Drosophila melanogaster: one gene and its partners. Changing the gene in region 2 together with the main gene of any one other region gives a genetic interaction. Each region holds a gene or a part of one and is shown on either strand. Other genes may lie near its edges. The genes, in order: Vhl, bnl, trol and sr.

Region 1 (4,184 bases), on a different chromosome or scaffold from region 2:
CTTATCTGCACCATAACTAATTTCTCAAATTTCTGGCTAAATTAAACAGTGAAGTGGGTGGCCGCACTGTTTGCCGACTTTTGGTACGCGACGCAGCTGGCGATAGCGAAAGTACCCTGCTCCACGAAACGGCGCCTCAGTGGGTGACCGACGTGGTGATCGAGAAGAACATTCCCAAGTTCCTCAAAATACCGTTCTTCCTGCAGCCTCACCCGCAAATGACCAAGCCTGAACGAACGAAGAAGGTAGCCGTCCTTGACAGCAAACAAAACTCATGTTCTAACGCAATTTATATTAAATTTTTTAGGATCGTCTTGTGGCTAATGAATTTATTCAGTGTCGCAAGGTCTGCGAGCACGTGCTTGAAAAGGTGCTGAATGCGGAAACTACCCCAAGTGGGGGCAATGCTAACAATTCACTGCAGAATAGCCAGAGCGATGCTAATTCGGAGGGATCCCAACTGCCAGCTGAGGAACGAATTGAACTGTGGTGTAACGATGTGGTAAGACAAATGGACAAATCTCATTTAAAGGACCTTGTTCACCGCCTTTCCTTTAAAGGTTGTGGACCCCAACATGGACCTGCGCACGGTGCGCCACTTTATCTGGAAGCAGTCGACCGATCTAACGTTTCAGTACAAGACCAAACAGAATTTCAACTACGATGGTAAATAAGAGAGCCCACGCATTGAACAACACAAGAACACCTATCACAAACACAACGCATACTTGATTTCTGCAATTGCTATTGCCTAACCGAGAGTTGTGCTTATATATATCCGCCCCATAGGTTCGATCGGGGATAGCTTGGAGCGCGTGACGCGCAAGTATTGAACGCTGGCAAGTGATCTCCCGCCTAACCGAAGCAGTACCGATGCATTATTGAATGAGAACGAGATTGAGCAGATCGATTAACAATTTATATTTTTATAAGTTGATTTTGCAATATATTTGAGTTAACCTGCGATTCGTCTCATCTCTTCTCGACTCGACTCGTGGACAAACACAAACACATTCAAGGAGAATCTGTACGAGCGTTAACTTTAAATTTAAAAGTGCACCGGAGTACTTTTGTTTGTTCACTTCTCGTTAGGAATAAATATGTACTTCAGATTCAGACTTATAACAATTAGGCTTGCGACACACGTAGATAAGCATTGCAAAGGAGTAACTGCAGACATACCATTAAATCGTATTTGCATCTGAAGCAACTAGACCTAGAGTATTGCGCATATATGTATGTATGTAATATTCACACTTGTTTCACATTAGGTTTATACATAATTATTTACATAGAACATACATAGGTATAAGAAATCTGTTAAATATACAGAAAAATCAATGCAATGGTAGTAGCCCAACTTGTAAAGAGCTCTATGCAAGCCAATTTGTACATAAGTAATAAGCGAAAATCGAAAACCAGGATGGAAATCAATTAAAGTTATTAAATTATTTGGAAATCAAGCCTGTCTCTCAGTCCCTAAGATGATTACCCGCCCTCTTAACTAACAACTAGGAGTGTGCTCCTAACGCCGACGTCGCGTGCCCGCCACTCGGGAATAGGACTCGATGCAGGTCAGCAGGCTGAGCAGCTGTTGCTTCAGCGTCGAGGGTATGTGGTATCCGTGGATAATCCTCCGTGGCGCGTTGCTCGTCCGGATCAGCCAGCGGGCGACCAGCCAGAGGCAGTTTTCGCGCAGCGATCTCATCGGAAAGTGGATCAGCACTTCGCTGCGTACGTCAACCAGCTGATCCGGACTCTGCTGGCTCTTGGGTACCCGCACCCGAATCGGCTGAAAGATCCTCTGCGAGCGTACGTGCATCCGTTCGCCCGTGTAGTAATCCCGGAACAGCCAGCTGTGTGTGGTGAACGTGTTCACCCGCACCTCCTCGAAGGGCTTGAGGGTAAGGTACATGTTCTCCCGCTCCCGCTCGCACACCCAGTACAGATCCAGGGTGCGATAGGTGGTGTTTGCAAACAGCACGTACACCTCCACCTTTCCCTGATCAGCGCCCACCAGCTGCTGGCCGTCGCGGTTGTTCTGCGCTATTTGGAGCGCCATCTCCAGCAGGGTGCTAAGCCGATCTGCAATGGCTGCCAAATCAATTTTCGTTGTTTTACGTTTGCACAAGCCGTGGGAATTGGATTGAATCAAATCACAACAAGCTAACAACAAGTATAGATAAAATTCACTTCTTATCAGTTACGGTAACATTTTTCCTGCTGCGTGTCACTGCAGCTGGCCACACTTTCGATGAATGTCTTATCGATAAGGGGTAAATCAGCTGATTTGCCTCCGCCTCTCGCGAAAAGTAAACAAATAAACACCAAGAAATAACAAAATATGGCATTTTGCATAGCAGTTATTGGCAAGGATGTGAGTTTTATTTTTCATTTGAATACAATTAATTGCATGACAAATTCCCCACAGAACGCCCCCCTGTACCTGACCACATCCGATATGGAGCAGGAACTGGAATTGCAATATCATGTTAACGCCGCCTTAGACGTCGTGGAGGAGAAGTGCCTGATTGGCAAGGGTGCTCCGGAGTCCAAGGAGCTGTACCTGGGACTGCTCTACTCGACAGAGAACCACAAAATGTACTTGGGTGTAGTTATGCTGGTGAATTTGCAACTGATTGGTGGTTGATTTCATTACAGATACGGCTTTGTGACCAACACTCGGGTGAAATTCATAGTGGTCATCGACTCCAGCAACGTTGCCCTTCGGGAAAACGAAGTTCGAGCAGTGGGTATCCAATCTAACTATCTAAATGAAAGCCCCAAATACCTCCTACCCTCTGTATCTTCCAGATCTTCCGAAATCTCCACTTGCTCTACACCGATGCCATCTGCAATCCCTTTTACATTCCCGGCGAATCGCTGACTTCAAAGTAAGCGGGCTTCTCCTTAAAGAATATATAAGTTGCTCTTAATACGTTACTTTTATATCTGCAGGAAGTTCGATCGCGCTGTCCAGAAACTGATGAGCGGCACTGCCTAGCTGTAGATTAATACTGAACGAATAATAAAGCGAATTATTTATCAAATGCATACGTCTTTCTAGGAGGGATGTCAAGGTGGCCTGGCCAAGTGCCCGCTCCAAGCTAGACTCAAGAGAGATACGCACCGGAGATACGCAAACCGGTCGTTGGCTGGCTAGCCGTAGCCAAATATTATGCTAATTCGACATTTTTGACAAAAATAATTCGAGAATTAATTATATCTTTACAATGTGTCTGCTAGTTGACACATAGTTAGTTAATGTCTCCGCGTCAAACTCGTCTTCCGTCTGTTTCGGGCATTATTATGGGATTCAATGCGAACTTTAACTGAACGGCAATAACGAGGCACACATAAACATGTATTTTGTCTTATCTAATGCATAATTAATGAAATCAAATCCTACGCGTCTCTAGACTTGAACTTGGGCGCCACCGGCAGAGGTAAGCTGAGCATCAGTATCATATAAAAAGCAGGCAGAAGTTCCAGTTCGATATCAGTTAGCCTTCTCAAGTCTTTCAACAATCAACATGAAGTTCTTCGTAAGTGGCTTTATCGCAAATTGATCCTTTAATGATTCTAGCTGATTTGTTATTTACAATCCTTGTAGATTGCTTTCGCCTGCCTGTTGGCCGTCGCCCTCGCCAACGAAGATGCCAATGTTCTCCGTGCCGAGCAGCAAGTGAATGTTGACGGCTTTGCTTACGCTGTTGAGCTGGACAACTCTGTCAATGTGCAACAGAAGGGTGACCTTAACGGCGAAGAGTGGGTGGTGAAGGGAAGCCAGTCGTGGACATCTCCCGAAAATGTGCCAGTGTCCATCCAATATATCGCCGATGCCAACGGTTACCAGGTGGTGTCTGCCAACCCTCCTCTGCCCACCCCACCACCAATTCCAGAGGCCATCCAGCGTTCTCTGGAGTACATCGCCGCCCACCCCCCAAGTCAATAAATAATGTTAAATAAATGTGTTGAACTTTACTTTCCTAGACTTTTAATTTCTTCCCAAAAGGACTGTCGCTTCTTAAACCGAGTAGACAAACATATATACGCATCGTATTAGCGGACAGAAACTTGTTGGTCAGGGTCTACCAGACGGATGAATTATATTAGTACGTAATATGTATGGGTCTGACAGATGAACATTGTACCCAAACGCCATGCTGCCCCTGAACTCGGGG
Region 2 (5,328 bases):
AAGGTTGCCCTCGAAAACTGCGGGGGAGTTCTCGCTGTTGTTGGTTATTTATTGGAATAGGCACATTTGGCATGTGCTTCCCCGCGTTTCACCAGGCGTCAAATTCTCGGGCACAAAATGTTTTCATTCCGGTTAATTGAGTTAATTGAGTTTTGAGGCAACCCTTTTTCTGTGGCCTGGCGAAATCACTTAGGCCACTTACGAGCAAGCATTTAGAAATACATTTGAAAACTAAATTAAACACAGGGTCTAAGTAAATTTGCTTATTTCGAAGTATGCAACTTTAGCATGGCTTTACTCGCGCTTCAAGTGATATATTTAAACTCAATATTCTAAATTCAAACTGTTTAAAATTTACAATTTGGACAGATCTACATAGGTACTATTTCTAAACAAGCAAAAGCGCAGTCCACAAAATTCTTAATATGTTTCATAAATCATTTCTACACAACATAATCTAACAAATATTTTCAAAAAATTGTAAGTACCAAACACGATAGATGACACGATAAACAATATTTTATGGCTTTAATAAACAACATTGCCTTCTCAAAACTGCTACTTTATAGCAGTTATATAGTCTTAGCGACAATGTAAAACTTTGCCAATCAGTAGCAAGCCCGCACTTTCCACCGGCAACACCCACCCACTGAATGACGCTGTCATCAAGAATGACGTAGGCGACTACCCCGGAATATTTCTGCAATTTCTGTAGTGTCAAGTTGAAGTTCATTCATACACACATATGGGTATCTGCACCATGTGATTTTTTATAAGCGCCTTCTAAATAGATAAGATAAACTTGTATTCAACGAAATTCGCGCATAGCTGCCTTAACTTTTAAATTTGCCGTGTGACAGTATTTTTGGGGCTAAATTTTGGTCAACATCTAAAATTAGCAAAAATTTCGGTTGGTCAGAAATAGGTTTTGTGGTTTATTGCAGCCACAGGCAAATGAGTTGGTCAAAGTTCAAACCTTATCAGTGCGAATACAACGATGCGATTAGCACCTATCGTGAGTTGGCTTTCCCACGCGACTGATTCACTGGCAATGTTTAGCCGAATAATAAAGGGTACTGGGTGACGCTTGTTGTTGCACTTTGTGTTGTTAGTTAATTGGTATTTGTGCAAGTCCACGCTACCTGGCGAAATACGTCAAAAGCACTGGAAAAGGTCTACGCGCCAAAAAGCACAACCGCCACCAAACGCAATCCAATCAAAAACAAAAAGCAACTGCAATCTCTCCCTTTCACAATGTCTGTTTGAAAACCGTCACGTGATTTGTCGCCGTCGACTTAGGGGGCTCATTATAGTGACAGAACTCTAACAAAAATTAGTAGACTACTGTATTTTATATATATATATATATATATTTTTTTTTTTATATATAGAACATTTTAGTTGAGCTTTATGTTCGAAAGTTGTTTTTCTAGTGACAGATAACACCTTGTAGCCTACATTGTGGCCCAAAAAATTTCAGAATTTTCGGTTAGATAGTTACCATGTAACCGTTTAAGATATTTAGAGTAAGAAAAAGTAGGCTTCATAAATGATTAAGATGACTACAGTTAACCACCCCAAACACTAACAGAATTTGTTTGTTTTACTTAAAATCCAAAAATAATTTTCTAAATACAACAAATAAGTACACAAAAAATAAAAAAAAATTGATTCATATTTTGCATTTAATGTTTGAGTACAATGTTGAGCTAGTAACACAGTAGTTTTTAACCACTCATTAAAATTTATAATTTATTCAGCTACAAAGTATAAATTAGCAACGAACGAAATACAAATCTTTTATAACGGTGTTTTTGATTCTGACGCTAATGTATGATGAATCAACGAGTTGGCAGCGTTTCAATCACTTGAGCCGCAGTTTCGTCAGATCGGAAGGATGAATTGGGAATAACAGATAAACCCCATATCACACCTAGGGAACCGACCGACCACCATTCACTACAGCTGACCACCGACCACCATTCTTGGCGTTTACCTTACTCGCCCACTACTTGCTCTCACTCTCTCCGTCTCCCTCCCGCCGAACCGCACCGCATCGCACTCTCTCTCTCGTGCTCGTTCCGTCGCAAACGTGCTCGGCGTGAACGCACGAAGCGTCGCCTCATCGACAGGGTCTTTTTGCTCATGGCTTCAGTCTCTGACTAGCACGCTTGGGGAACACACAGTGAGCGGAGCGTCCGCAGTCGCAGTAGCACTCGAAGTCCGCTTATCCGCATCCGCAGCGTTTTCGAATTTTTCAGACCTACCATTCGATCCGATCCGATCCATCTGGCACATCCTAACCATCTCTAATCGTAACCCCATCATCGTGATCGCGTCCGTAATCGCTCCGTTTTAACGTACTCGATGTTCCGGTTTTGTGTGCAATCGTTTTCAAAGGAGATCGAAACAATAATCTCGGCGGATAGGAAATTTGAAACACGAATGTTCGTTTCGCAATCCAAGAGAGTCGTTACAATTTGAAAAGCCCGCAATAAAAAAAAAAAATCGTTTAGATGCGAGCAATTCGAAGATCGGAAAATATATAAAAAAATAAATATATATATATGATTTGTGCTGTGTTTGAAAAAGGAATATAAGAAAAAAATTATGAAAATGTTGAATTGTTGTTGCCGTAAGTTTTAAAGTGTGCAAAGTGCAACTCTCTGAAAATCAACGAAGAATACAACGCGTCCAAAAAAAGAATCGTAAAACTGAAAAAAAAGCAAACAAACATAAAACCTAGGTGCGTAATTTTCTGTTTCAACGCTGTTACATAAGTTCTTTTTTTTAATAAGTTTGTTGTTCCTCCAAGTATTTGTTCGAATGTTGCAAAATATTTCATTGGATTTCGGTCTTTGGAGCTTAGCAAAAGCAAGCCTAAAATTATTGAAAGTTTCAAGTTTGCCGAACGGAAAAAATATATGTTTTTCTGTATTATTAGATTTGATGTTTTGAAATACTAAAATTTATAAAGAGTTTCAGTGTTCTTTGGTCGCGCAATGTTGGGCATTTAAATAAAATATTTTGAATACGTTGAAATGTGGCAATTTGTTTGGTAACTTTCAAAATAAATTTAAAACATTTTCCACTTGGCAGCGGGCCGAGTAATAAGTGTATTTAAATGACCCACGAGGGAAAGTAATTAAATAGCAATATGTATAAAAACGAAATAAATTGATTTCAACAAACAAATAGCAAGCTAAAGCAAATGGGCAAAAACTTAATTTATATTAGTGGCATGCTAATTGAAATAATTTAGTTCATATTTGATTTGATTGATCAATACCTGTGCAGAATGATATTCACTTAAAACGTAATCTGATTGCATTTAGGTATAAGCGAATTAAATTTGATTTGCAGCCTAGTTTTTCCAAGTACTTTTCCGCGTTTATCTGCCCCAAATAAACAATTGGTAAAGCAAACAAAATGTAGCAAAATGTTTTTTTTTGCCAACCGGTGAAAGCAAACGACCTTAGGAGAACCCACTCTATGAAAGCGAAATTCATATAAATTTAAGCACACGATCTTTGGGATTATTTATAGTTTTTTTTTTTGCAAAACGCATATACATTTGCGAATCTTTATCGCCGTCTTGAAATGTATCTGTATCTGCGTATATGCGAATTGTGCGTATCTCTATTTGCAAACGCACGCAGGCGCTTTTAATCTCATTTCGCTAACTTTTTCGCAATAAACTTTTTTTCTGCTCACTCTGCGCGTGCACTTTTTGTCCTATAAATTGGCGGCGCTGACTATTATCTAACATTTGTGCGCTATTATCTAAGCTGGCTTGTTGTTCTTGTTCTTCCTGCGGATGATTTGCGCTGCGTATCTGTATCTGTATTTTGTATCTGTGTGCGAATTTGCGTTATTGCCGCACGCTAGTATGCGTCGGGTTCAACAACTGCTAATCACATGCCGGATCACAGTTTGGACAGCCGAGCGACAGACAAAGTGCGAAATATGGGGATCGCGATAAAGAATAAACTGAATGAATTTCGGCTGTGTGGACTAGCGGGTGATATCCTTCAAAATTAATGGCAGCGAAGAGTGCTTAACTCAAATCAGGGTCATTATTTGTAGAAGCTATTAACTATTTGGTATTTTCAGATTTTTTCTGGTCATTTTTCAAACTTATCTGGGGTCTAGGGAAAATATTAAAATTTTGGTTTATTACCTTTTACTTTCCTTTCATAACTTTTTTATTGGTTTACAATTGTTCCAGCAATAAGGGCTATTAGTTAGTATTATAATCAAGTTAATCTTTTTTGCTAACTTACATAAGCCATAATAAATCTTATCTTCTAATTCTAATTGTATAACTTATTAATAACCAAAAATAAGCGATAAAGATTCATACATTAATTATACATAATTGAATTGTGCCTCTTCAAATGCCGATCAAATTTTATTTCCTTTGCCGTTAAAGTTCTCACGTCACAATTTCATCAACTAAAAAATGAATATCCCCCAAGGGCAAAGAAAATAATTGGCTAATTGTTTAGTACCGCTTACGAAACGGTTTCTGGCTACGTCAACGATTGAATAATTGAAAAGACCACCGTAAATTTAGACATTAAGACATCAGTTTATGCAGAAAAACCAATTGAAGTGATTAAATTGCATGGGCAGTCCCGAATTAATTGAAAAGTAAATTTATATTTTGGTAGTAAAAGAGTTGCGCGTGGAATTTATATTTCCCCGGAGACTGTCGTGCATGCCTTCGGACTTCAGATGTCATAAAGCCAGCCAATTATCAGGTTTAGTTCTGAAACGCACGAGTTGGGTAACTTTTCGCTTGGGCCTGTGACACATTTACAAATTGTGCCTGATTGATGGGGCAGCAAGCCCAGTGGAGCCAAAGTTTGAAATACAACGATCATAATTCGTAGATAGATAAAGCTTATCGCATGCAAAAGAAAAAAGTTTTATGGCCGTGCGTAAATAGTTTTGCGGTTTGTTTTTCTTTTTGCCCAAAAGTGGCGCATAACACTCGGAATATAAAGTCAACCGAAGTCGGCGAAAGAAGGCGGAAAATGCGGGAAACTCAGTAAAAATGTAGCGTTTGTTTTAATTAAGCGTGAACACTAGACCACATAATGTGCGGCATACATTTAGAGACGCACACACACGATCGCACATGGCAACAGCTTTAGGTACACCGCTCAGTTAAAAAGCGAGCAACAAAAAGGCAAAATGAAAACGAGAAAATCGTCGCGTATTTTACTCAGGTTGTTGTTATTCTTGTTGTTTCTCTTTTTTTTTTGACGGTTTTCCTTCTTTTTTTACACATATATATATATTTTTTTTTTGGTTGTTTGACGC
Region 3 (5,606 bases), on a different chromosome or scaffold from region 2:
AAGTGAAACTTGATTGAAGGTATTAGCTTATATTGAAATCAACTGATCCACGCCTTTTCAACTTAAAGGCCATTTCCCAGCGATTCAATAAGGCCAGCAGAATGAGGCAGATACACAAACAGCCAGGCAGCCAAGCAGCCGGTCACATGTGTGATCGGGGGTACAACATCTTGTGTCCATATGTTGCACAAACAAACAGAAACCGTGAAGCCACGGAAACAAGAAAACCAGAAAACCGAAAAACAAGGAGAACTGAAAACCGAAGGGAATGTGCCAACGAACGCATCTTCAGACCAATGAAAAACAAAGAAAACATAATCCGAAAAGCTGAAAAAGAAACCAAAACGATACGGGCGAGTCAAAAAAGCTGCGAAATGATATTTTCTCATCTGTTGGCTGCCGTTTTGTGCTTTAATTTTTTTTTTTTTTTTTTTCTTATTCGCTTTGCAGTTGTGTTGTTGATGATGCAAATATTTTGACAGTTTGTTTGACAGATATCGGGGCACACAACGGGGCGTGATGTGATGAGCGATATACAAGCCAAGGGCCAAGAAGGGTGGGGGGTGAGGGATCGGATACCCTTGGAAAGCCGGAAAAGGGCCATCGAATGAGGACCCATCTGTCGATGTAAACAGAGCAGCACAATTCGCTTGCCAGGCGAATATCAGTTTGAAGCATCAGAAGTTGCCATATGCAGTGAGTTGTACTTTGCGCTTCAGACTTTCAAGAAACACTATGGAATCAGTGGCGAGTTGCACAGTTTGCCAAAAAGAAAGGAATGGTGACATAACGTATGGTGTTTAAACTGATTATTGATAGCTAGCATATGTGCTTTTCAGTCAAGTTCAGCTATCAATTTAAAAACGAATAAAACCCAAGATAAACGATATCGAATGCCCCAAGGGGCACCGTGCCACCTGATCGTATGCGCAATGTCCGATGACCGGCAATACGCATACGCCGGATGGGCAAAAGCGGAGGATGGAGCTATCGTGCTGCAGCAGTGACCTCGTTTGCAGTCCGATTTGCAGTGGTTCCTTCTTCAAAGTGTGGCTCCCATTCCCGTCCCACTCCCAGTCCCAGTCCCACCGATAAGCCCTGAGCAGGCGACATAGCCCCCGTATGTATGTATGTGTACATGTGTTCGAATTTGGCCTCATTTACGCAACTTCCGATGTGATAAAAAGTGTGAGCGCTGCAGCAAAACAAATCGAATGGAAACGACATGCTCGACAAAATCAAGCAGAGTACCAGAATTGTCCAGCAGGTACTGCCGTCCGTTCACAAAAGCCATTGAAACATTCACAAACGTTCAGTGATTTTAAATGTTAATTAAAGAAATTATTTCATTGCAAGCAAATGTCTGTGGGCAACATGTCATTAACACGCTGATAACGCGCTATCATCAAAGCTCATTATGGTGGAAAACATACACACACACACTCGCACACACACACACAGCGACCCCTCCCTCCTTCAGGCACAAAGATAGAATTTGGAACTGAAACAATCGACTTCTCATAATAATTGGCAAAGCCATCCGAACACAATCGCATCAAATTCAAAAGCCAGCATCTGAACTCGATCCGAATTTGTGAAAAGAAATTAATTCAGCGTCTGTTTTTTCGAGAGAGTGATAACCTGCGATGATGACCCCGGCCCAATGGACTTGGTGATCTATTTTTTTGGCCTCTGCTCAACTCGAAATCCGGTCCTTAACATTGTCCGTAACCGAGCTCCGAAACCCTGAAGCCTCGAAGCCCGGCTCAACTTCCTAATTTGATGGCGAGTGGAGGAAAACTATTTTCCAAACCACTTACAATAAATACATTTTTATGCTAATCACTGGTGGCGCTCGTTTTGTGTCTGTCTGTCCCGCCTATTGGGAAAAAAAAACAATACTCGTATGTGTGTCATGCTAAATAGTTCAAGTTCGTCGCGGAACCCAGAGTTGTGTCATCCGGAATAAGAGATCATTGGGTTACCGATCTCGAATGGGATGTGCATCAGCTGATGGGCAATGGTCATGTGAATGGTAAGCGGCTGTTAGGATCATGTCACCGAATAGAACTAATCAAATTGTTAACTGCATTCCTGGGCCTCAAATAGCAATGTAATAATTATAATACTACATATCCCAACAAGAGGGTCGAACTCACCTTGGCATTGGTCAGCAGCGGTGCGTGGCAGGCGGCGAGGACGAAGGTCACGGCAAGGAGGCGCAGGAGCAACGATCCTCCCGCTTGACCTCTCCGCCCGCTTCTGATTCCGACCGAGGTCGCGATCGCGGACGCTTGGGATCCCGGCGATCCCATCATCTCTTTTCCGGGTAACGGCGGTTTTGGTTTCTTTTGGCAGCTATTTAGGTTTGGCTTAGGTACTTTGTGAAGGCAGTTTCGGTTCGTTTTGTTTAGTTTGGCTTTAAACGGCTGGCAGGTTGTGGTTACGGCTATGGCACTGCACGGAGAAAAAAAGCCCCAGACATTAATTCGCAATTGAGCAACAATTAAGCGTTAGACAGAGACAGAGATAGAGAGCATCCTGATATTATGTTTCTGGGGATTTTTTTCTCCGCGCACGGAAAAAGGGGAAGCAAATCGGTGATTTGACATCAGCAAAATTTTTTGGCTTTGGTGAAACCAAATCCGAATTAAAAACCAGAGAAACCGTCATGTTTCAGAAGTTTCTTCGAAAAATCCGAATGATCCCCTTTGATCATCTGTTCGCTCCTGGACGAGCCGATATTTGTTTCCCCTCTTTCTGTTCGCTTTTCCGCCTTTTCGCTTTATTTTCTTGTTTCATTCCTTATTCTTTAGTTTCGTTTCACACGCGATGGACACTATTCGTATTCGTTGCGAGTATGGGTTCCTTTTTGGGATCACACTAGTTAATGAATGAAAAAAAAGGAGCAGGGCTTGGGTTTTTGTTTAAACGTTGAACCGATATCACCAGGATATCTTGTCGGGGATTTTCAAAATTTCGGCACTTCGAGGATGTGAGAGCACTCAAAAAAAAAAAAAGACAAACGCTCCCCACAAGAGAGTCAGAGTCACACAGAAAACAAAGGGACAGCACACCGTGGAATGTGCGACCGCCTGGAACGATGGCGCGCAACCTAATGTCTAAGAACCGTTGCTGCGATTCCCATCGCTGCCTCTGCTCTGCCGGCGTCGCCCGAAGACGCACGAAGGCCGAAAGCGCGACGGAGCCGAAGCGATTTGCGTGCTCTTGTTATTGTTTAACGGCGCTTAATGGCCATTGCAAGCCTGTTGCGTCGATGCACCGCACTCTCTCTCTCCCTTACCCTCTCCCTCTATCCCTCTCTCGCTCACATGCGTGGGTGTCCGCTTACGCAGAGTTAGCTGCGCCTGCTCTCTCTCCTCTCGCTCTGCCTGTCCATCCTTATTTGCGGAGCGTAGTCGCGATTTAGCCAGTCGGCTAAAGCAGCATTTAAGGCCGTAACGATAGAAAAAAAAAAGTAACTATCACTTTAGTTGGATAGTAAGCCCCCCCTCCCCCATTTTTTTTTACTCAACACCCGCCCAAGTGGCTCTCGCTCTCTGGGTCAACTGATAAACAAGTGAAAACCGTTGCTCCTTGCTCTCTTTTCACCTTTCGTTGTTGCTGCGGCAGCCGGTTTGCAAATTATCCCACTCACTCCCACGAAAAGCGGCGCTCTCCTCGCACATTTTTTTATTGAAGTTCTTTGAATTTGACACTCAAAAAAAAAGGAGAGTCCAATAAAATGCTGATGCAATTCGCGTAGGAAAGCCAAACACCAGTGAAAACGTATTTGAAACACGAACTTTATAGCCTTTACTCGCTGTTCCTACGAATATTAGTGTTTATGGACAATTAATTCTTGGCGCACCTAAAACATACATACAACCATGTGAGCAAATCATCTTAAATGTGCAGTCATCGGTCTAAAATTGATGCAAAGCACTATTTTAAATATTCAACACAATACAAGTTTGGCAGGACGGACATCCATGTGATATTAGCATTTCGGGCTCGTCGGCTTTGGCGGTTAAGTCGGTTTGTCAACTGGCCATAGGACCGGCCACAATCCGTGACCTTCAGCCGATTTAGCCACCACCCCCCCCCCCCCTGTCAACACCACCAAAAAGGCGGCTTCCCATTGGCGCCTGACCCAATGACATCCGAAAATGACGCATGCGTGAGGGTGAATTACCGGACTTGGATGCCGACGCCCCACATGGAGGACCAATGGACACGTTGCGATTTTTTAGGGCCCCATCTCCTGGAATAATTGGCCCATTCCTCAGGTTCGTTTCCCTGTTCCTCCCCTTTTTCGCCTTTGCTAATGTAAAATATATTTAATATTTAAATGGTGAACGCTCACAAGTGGCCACAGCTTCCGTTCGCAGATAAGAAAAGGTACTAAAAATACACGCAGAAAATTGTTGAATACGCTATTGAAAATAATGGCAATGGTCTGTATACACTTGGAGAAATTAGCTAGATAGACACCAAATACACAAATACGTGCTTAATATTGAGCTTTGCCTAGGTGTTAAGTTTATAAATTAGTGATAAGATAACATTATAAATTTTAGTAAAATTGTGCACAAATTCATTTCAATGTTTTATTGGTCGCAGTGCGATTCTTGAACATATTTTCTTCAATTGAAAAGCAATGACATCTGTTCGACTTTCGTAGCACTTGTTTTTTCAACTGCTCAAATCATTTAATATTTAGACATGTGTGCACTCTCGAGCATTTCATTCAATTTAGGGAGTCAAATGTTATCACATCAAAATTGGAGCAAGTGCTGAAACAATTAGAATTATCAACCTAAGTCCGTAACCTATAAAGGTTATCAACGGTGAGAAAAACCAAAAAACAAAAAAAAAAAAAAAATATTTTTAATTTACCGAACTCACCACAGTCGTCGAGTGGTGAGTACACGATTCTGTTAGCCACATTTGCAATCGAAAGCTAGCTACAGTTTGAGAGCCATTGCACAAAAGCTTTTAGCCAAGTCAACAAAAAAGCTTTCCTAAAGCGTTTGCCACCAAAAGTATAAGTTTTTAACTGAATAAAATTCAATTATTAAAGAACAAGCTGTTTCAATTTAATCACACATTAAGAGTTTATGAAATAGGTGACTTACAGGATCTCATCTACTTGTCAAATTGGTTGTCAAATGTGGCCACACGGACAATCCAGAAAATGACATTTTTTTGAAGTGCTTAATAATAGATTTAAGGGTTATTTTCCATTTGTCCATATATCCTTTTGACAACAATGAAGATATCCCTGTCCCATTTACATTCCGCCCTCGTTTTTTGCACTCACTTTTACATTTTCCGAGCACATTTTTGGTTTCCGTTACCGACTTTCGACTTTCACACTAAATACTCGCCTTTCCCATTTTCTGGCCCAGTCACGTGTTTCGCAATGGCAACTTGTTTACTTTTGCATACGTAAAGGCCTGGGTAAAATGTGCTAGTGAATTAGACGAGGACGATATTTTGTAATTGAAAACTAATTGTTGCCATGAATGATTTCAAGCCACAGAGCTGCTTTCTATTTTTGCATCCGGTAAAAATAGCCTTTACGCCTGTTTAATTATTTTCTA
Region 4 (5,151 bases), 1.7 Mb from region 2:
AACAAAAAAAAAAAAGCGAAAAACATGCAAAACGCTAAATGCTAAAACGCCCCCGTTCGCTCCATCAACAAAACGGCAATTAGAGTTGCACAGTGGAAGCTAAAGCTTCGTCCCTGCGATGACATTTAAAGGTTAGAGGTTGCGAGCATCAATCAAAAGGCAGCTACACAAGTGGAATGGAAGTCCCATCCTGTGCTGTTCTGCTCCATTACTCTAGCGCTGAAACAAATGAGCAATAATAAAAATAATAATATTAATAATAATAATAACGAGGGGACAGCGCTTCCTGGAAGGTGGAAAAACCGAAGGGACATTTTCGTTGGCTGGGAAAACGAGAACAATAAGGTTATCCAAGCTGGACCTGTTGATTGCCTGCCTTCATTTCGCCAAATGTGCTCCACTTCTACTTCACTTTTCCTAGTGGAAATAATTTCCAGCGTGGGCGTGTAAGAAAATGCTCGACTGGGATGCTAATAGATGCGATTAAACGCCCACACTGTCAGATATTATTGACTAGAAGATGAGGATGAAGTTAAGGGCAGGGGCACAGCTAAATGGCAGATACGGCACAGTGGGCTAATACTGCCCATGAATACTGTTAGAATAAATGTATTCGGGAAAAAAGAAAATCTCTAAATGTTAATGTGTAAGGCAAAGTTGTGAATACTTTCTATTATTCAAAATATTATAATGTGAGAAATTAATCAATTGCTTTATATTAATCATACGCAGTGTGGTCATAAATATTTACTAAATTGAAAAGTTAAAACAATTACACTATAAACCCTATTTATTATATTATATACACTATATTACACGATTTGAAATAGTTAATAGCTGATAGGTACCCAAAGCTTTTGTACACATTTGAAGACTGATTTGAACCACTGTGCAGAAGGAAGCCAGAAGCTACTAGCATTTTCCACTCGAGAAGAGTCTCGGGAGAATGGATACAGGATGCTGGTGCCTTGCCCTTTTCCCGAAACGTCTGCCACGTGTGTGGGATGTCCTGCGGCTGGAGGCTCCTGTTGCTCTTTGGCCAACCCACCGCCCGCCAATCGATGGCAGACCAAAGGTTGCCGGTCACATTCGGATAAATATATGAATGGAATGGAAAGCGAAAAACTGAATTGAGCTTATCAATGAAAAAAGCTCCCGTTGATGTGTCCGCTCAACTAGAAGTTCATTCATAAATTTTCCTGATTTTCCGCTAAGCGAATAGAGCAGCTGAACCCAAAGAAGCTCGCCCTGTTATCCGGTTGAACTTTGATATTTCGGTATTCACAGGAGAAGGTCCTGCCTTCCGTTTCTCTGCCCCTTTGTGGGGGAGTCGCTTCAAATGTCAGCTGCTCCTGACTCCATTTAAACCGCATTATTTGGCCGGAAGCTTTGGCTGGATTCGTTACACCTGCGTGTTTAATTAGCCAGGCAATTTCAACTTGTTGCAGAAAATTTGCGGCTACCAATTGCCGGTTGACCTTATACATATGAGCAGCATTCCCCGCGCTGTGCCCCTCGCACATTCGCACACGGAACACGTGTACGTGACTTTTAACCTTTTCATGTGGCAGCGCTAATTGATTTGTTTTACGCACGTGTCGCTCTGCAGGAGTGCAAATACATATGTATCGCGTGGGCTACGCATACTAACGTCCTTCATATTTTAGGCCATAACCAGCAATTCGTCATTCAGTCAAATAGCTTGTGTTTGAGCCAAAAAGAAGTTGTTGCAAGGCTGTTCTTTGAGTTTTCCATTAAAAAAGATAAACAAGAGGCCAACAAAAGTATACTTAAAACAACCAATATGTTGTAAAAGTTTCATAAATCATTATATTAAGCCTTATCTTTGTATATTTTTATTAGTTTTAATTTTAGTTATTATTTCCATTCATATTGAATGGAGGTAAACCACGAAATTCAATTGACTTCTCGAACATTCGACGGCTTCATAAAAAAACCAGGTTTCTTTCGAAATGCAAATGGAGTCTATCTGCAAATGGTATTTGGCAAAAACAGCTCCTAAATATTAAGGAATGTGTAAATAATTTTATGCAAAATGATCTCATTCGATTCGGTTTGTACAGAAATTTCGAAGATGTGTAATCTTTTCCATCTCATTCATCATTAAAAATGTAAGGTTTTTCAATGAGACTACAAATATTGAATGAATTTTTATATTTAATAATTAAATAGAAAACAAATCTGGTTTAGCTAATGGCTAAAAACCTTTATGGTTTTGTGAAATAGGAATTTATGAAAATCACAAAATATTTTATGTTAATTACCTTTATTGAATTATTTTAAGAAATCATCCAATAAAATAATTTGGATTTACGAATATATGTTTTCGGGCAATATTCGTACAATTTATTAATAAATTAAAACTAATGTAACATGACCGTAATAAATTCGGCCCCGCTTCAATTTTCCCCATCATATATATGTAATAAAGCCTTATATTTGGCTTTCGCCCCAATTAAAGGCCATTAGAGGCCATAACCAAACCGACAATCACCCCTTTCCCGCTGTAACCATTAATATACTTGTTCAGATGTCGATGGTGGATGGCTGGGCAATATAGGCAGGGTCTACTACTACTACTACTTACCAGCTATAAAAAGGCAATCAGATGTCGTCGATTCGGAGGCAAGTCGGCGACAACAGAGCACGCAAGCGCCCAGAAAGCTGGTCTGGCTAGGGCATCAAGATTTGGGCGCGTAAATAGGCAGGATCGTTGGGATTTTCATCTGTAGTCCAACAGTCGCGCGGATTGCGGATCGCGCGACTGCGTTTGTAATTAATTACGAGGCGGGCCAAAAAGGCGAACGCACGCGCGACTCACTATAAACCGCAACCGCGATTGCAACTGCAACAACTACTGCCAACTGCGACTCTGAAACTTCAGATGGCCAAGCATAAGATAAGATGCGCAGCTGTATAGAACGTGGCCAAGTCAAAGGAAGCGACGTAGCTACTGCGATTACGCGAAAGATATCCACCGGCTGTAATCGCGATCTCGTTGGCTAGCGAAGAGTTGGCAACTAGTTCCCGGCTTCTTCGGTGCAGATTATGCAATTTTGATTTGAAACACGCAATTTGATGGGCTAGTCGAGATATTGGGCTACGGGCTATCTTTCGGCTTAATTCGCTTAACGATCTCATGCACAGGGCGCGTAAATCGGGGCTATAAGATCCCCTGCTCTTTTTTTTATTCTCGAATTTATTGTGCTCAACTTATTAGACGATAATTTCCTTCCGGTTGCGATGCGTTTTTTTTTTGCGATTCAATCCGTCGTCCGACTGTCGGCGGTATTAAAAAATACGGTTTGCTTCGCTTTGCAGCGCTGCCTTGACTGTTTTGCCTCGGTTTCACTGTATCTGTACCTGTACGTGGCTTTGTATCTGTATCCGTTTGCGATGGCAGTGTGTGAGTGTGTGGCAGTCGTGGGCTGATCATCGCCTTACTTAGAGATCTGTCGCCCAGTTGAGATGCCTCGTCTGAGTGTTGTTGTTGTTGTTCTTGCTGCCGTGTGTGGGCACAACTGTACATGCGGACGGGCTAAGCTAGCCGTCCTCGTCGCACTCATGACCGGGGGATTGCCGGTGGGGCAACGAACAACGAACAACAAACAACAAACACCACAAACCACACACACAACCCCCGCAACGCCTCAAAGTGCTTTTCTCTCTCGCTGAGCTTCTATCGCCTAGCATAAGGCTGTAACACCTTTGGATTACTCTTAAGCCGTTTTCCTACACTGAAAAGAAGTGTGAGTGTCAAAAATGTCCTGCGTGCCTTCATCTTAGTTAAACTAAATAATTGGTATTTCTAAATCCTCTTCAGCTGTTAGTAAACCAATATATGTAATATTTTCATTGACATTAGAAGAAGTGTTTTGTAAATAGGAATTATTTATTTATCAATAATCTTCATTTAAGTCATCTTAAATTGTTTTCAGTGCACCGGAACGTGCCAAGTTCTACGAGTGGTTGTGTGGGCTTTCCTCGGTCTAAAAGCCCACACATTTAGCCAACACTCTTGATCGCAACCCTCTTAGTAGAATCAAAACCCCCTCCACGTGTGCAAAACCCTTTCATAGGGATACTTGTAGAATCTGCGTCATTCAATGCACTTGTGCAAACAGACATACATATGTACATACATATTTTAGCCAGGATTTTTACGGATGCAGTAAACTTTAAGGGTTTTCCTGGAATCGAAATCCAAATTCGTCTATCAATCCTGAAAGCTTTTGCTGGAAAGCTAGTCAGCTAAAAATAACACCAACGAAAGCTAATTGGCTGAAAAAAGCTTGGGCCCCCTTAGAAAAAAGCTTTAGAGGCAACAGCACCCACAGAAACGCACACCCACACACAAAAAAAACGCCAAACACACATACACACACACACACATGTGTATATACAAAGGGGTCACGTGGGTGGTTTCATTGATAAATTCATACTTTTACCTCTCGCTCTTTCAGCTGACTGCAAATTGAATTGCAAAATACTGCAGCTGTGCTCGCAGAAAGAGACAGAGCGATAGAAAGGGTGCAGGTGGAGAAAGGAAGCGGAAAGAGATGGAGCTACTGGAAGAGAAAGAGACAAGGACAGAGCCCCTCTGTGCACTGCTCCACTTTAAATAATGTGGGTGTGGATCAAGCCCGGCATTAGATTGTGAATGAAAACTCGAAAAGAGACAGCGAAACGCGGCTAGAAAGAGACGGAGAGCCGAGTTAAAAACGCCCACCAAGCTCACCTTACACAGACACACACACACACACACTCGCACTTTGGCTTCTAATCATATTCATATTTTACCCCCCCCCCCCCCTTCACAACTGAAAACTCGAATTCATTCATTCACAAAATGCTTATATATGGAAACTTGTCAATTAGTTCAAGTGTCTTACACTGAGCGAAACCCAAGTCCCAAGTCAAATTAATTATACTTAGCCGAATCGCCCACATCGGACATTTGACATTTGTACTCTTATTAACTGTAATTGCTCATTCAGAATGTGACACATGCAATAGTAATAACAAAGGCCAGCACAATTAGCTCGCCACCTTATAAGGCTTATACTTTGTTAGGAAAATAAATTTGAGAAATGGCACTAGAGACAATAGTATGGCCCAAAAACCCAATAT

What was found.
Region 1: of bnl (region 2) and Vhl, changing one suppresses a phenotype caused by changing the other (phenotypic suppression), as found in Drosophila melanogaster (one study listed by BioGRID).
Region 3: of bnl (region 2) and trol, changing one enhances a phenotype caused by changing the other (phenotypic enhancement), as found in Drosophila melanogaster (one study listed by BioGRID).
Region 4: of bnl (region 2) and sr, changing one enhances a phenotype caused by changing the other (phenotypic enhancement), as found in Drosophila melanogaster (one study listed by BioGRID).

Annotation. Positions count from the first base shown.
Region 1 is NT_033778.4:11,277,756-11,281,939, reverse strand, and holds Vhl (von Hippel-Lindau), read right to left. Parts: upstream 2,216-4,184; 5' UTR 2,063-2,215; coding exon 1,526-2,062; 3' UTR 907-1,525; downstream 1-906. Other genes in the region: CG9062 (uncharacterized protein), read left to right, coding at 50-245, 308-502, 561-666, 790-833; CG9067 (uncharacterized protein), read left to right, coding at 2,345-2,377, 2,432-2,601, 2,662-2,749, 2,815-2,894, 2,959-3,004; Cpr47Eg (cuticular protein 47Eg), read left to right, coding at 3,534-3,545, 3,614-3,955. UniProt on the Drosophila melanogaster protein: Involved in development of tracheal vasculature. Probably involved in halting cell migration at the end of vascular tube outgrowth.
Region 2 is NT_033777.3:19,833,680-19,839,007, reverse strand, and holds the start of bnl (branchless), read left to right. Parts: upstream 1-2,190; 5' UTR 2,191-2,746; intron 2,747-5,328.
Region 3 is NC_004354.4:2,542,306-2,547,911, forward strand, and holds the start of trol (terribly reduced optic lobes), read right to left. Parts: upstream 3,123-5,606; 5' UTR 3,078-3,122; intron 2,604-3,077; exon of another isoform or gene 2,458-2,603; 5' UTR 2,319-2,457; coding exon 2,160-2,318; intron 1-2,159.
Region 4 is NT_033777.3:18,088,912-18,094,062, reverse strand, and holds the start of sr (stripe), read right to left. Parts: upstream 3,261-5,151; 5' UTR 2,609-3,260; intron 1-2,608.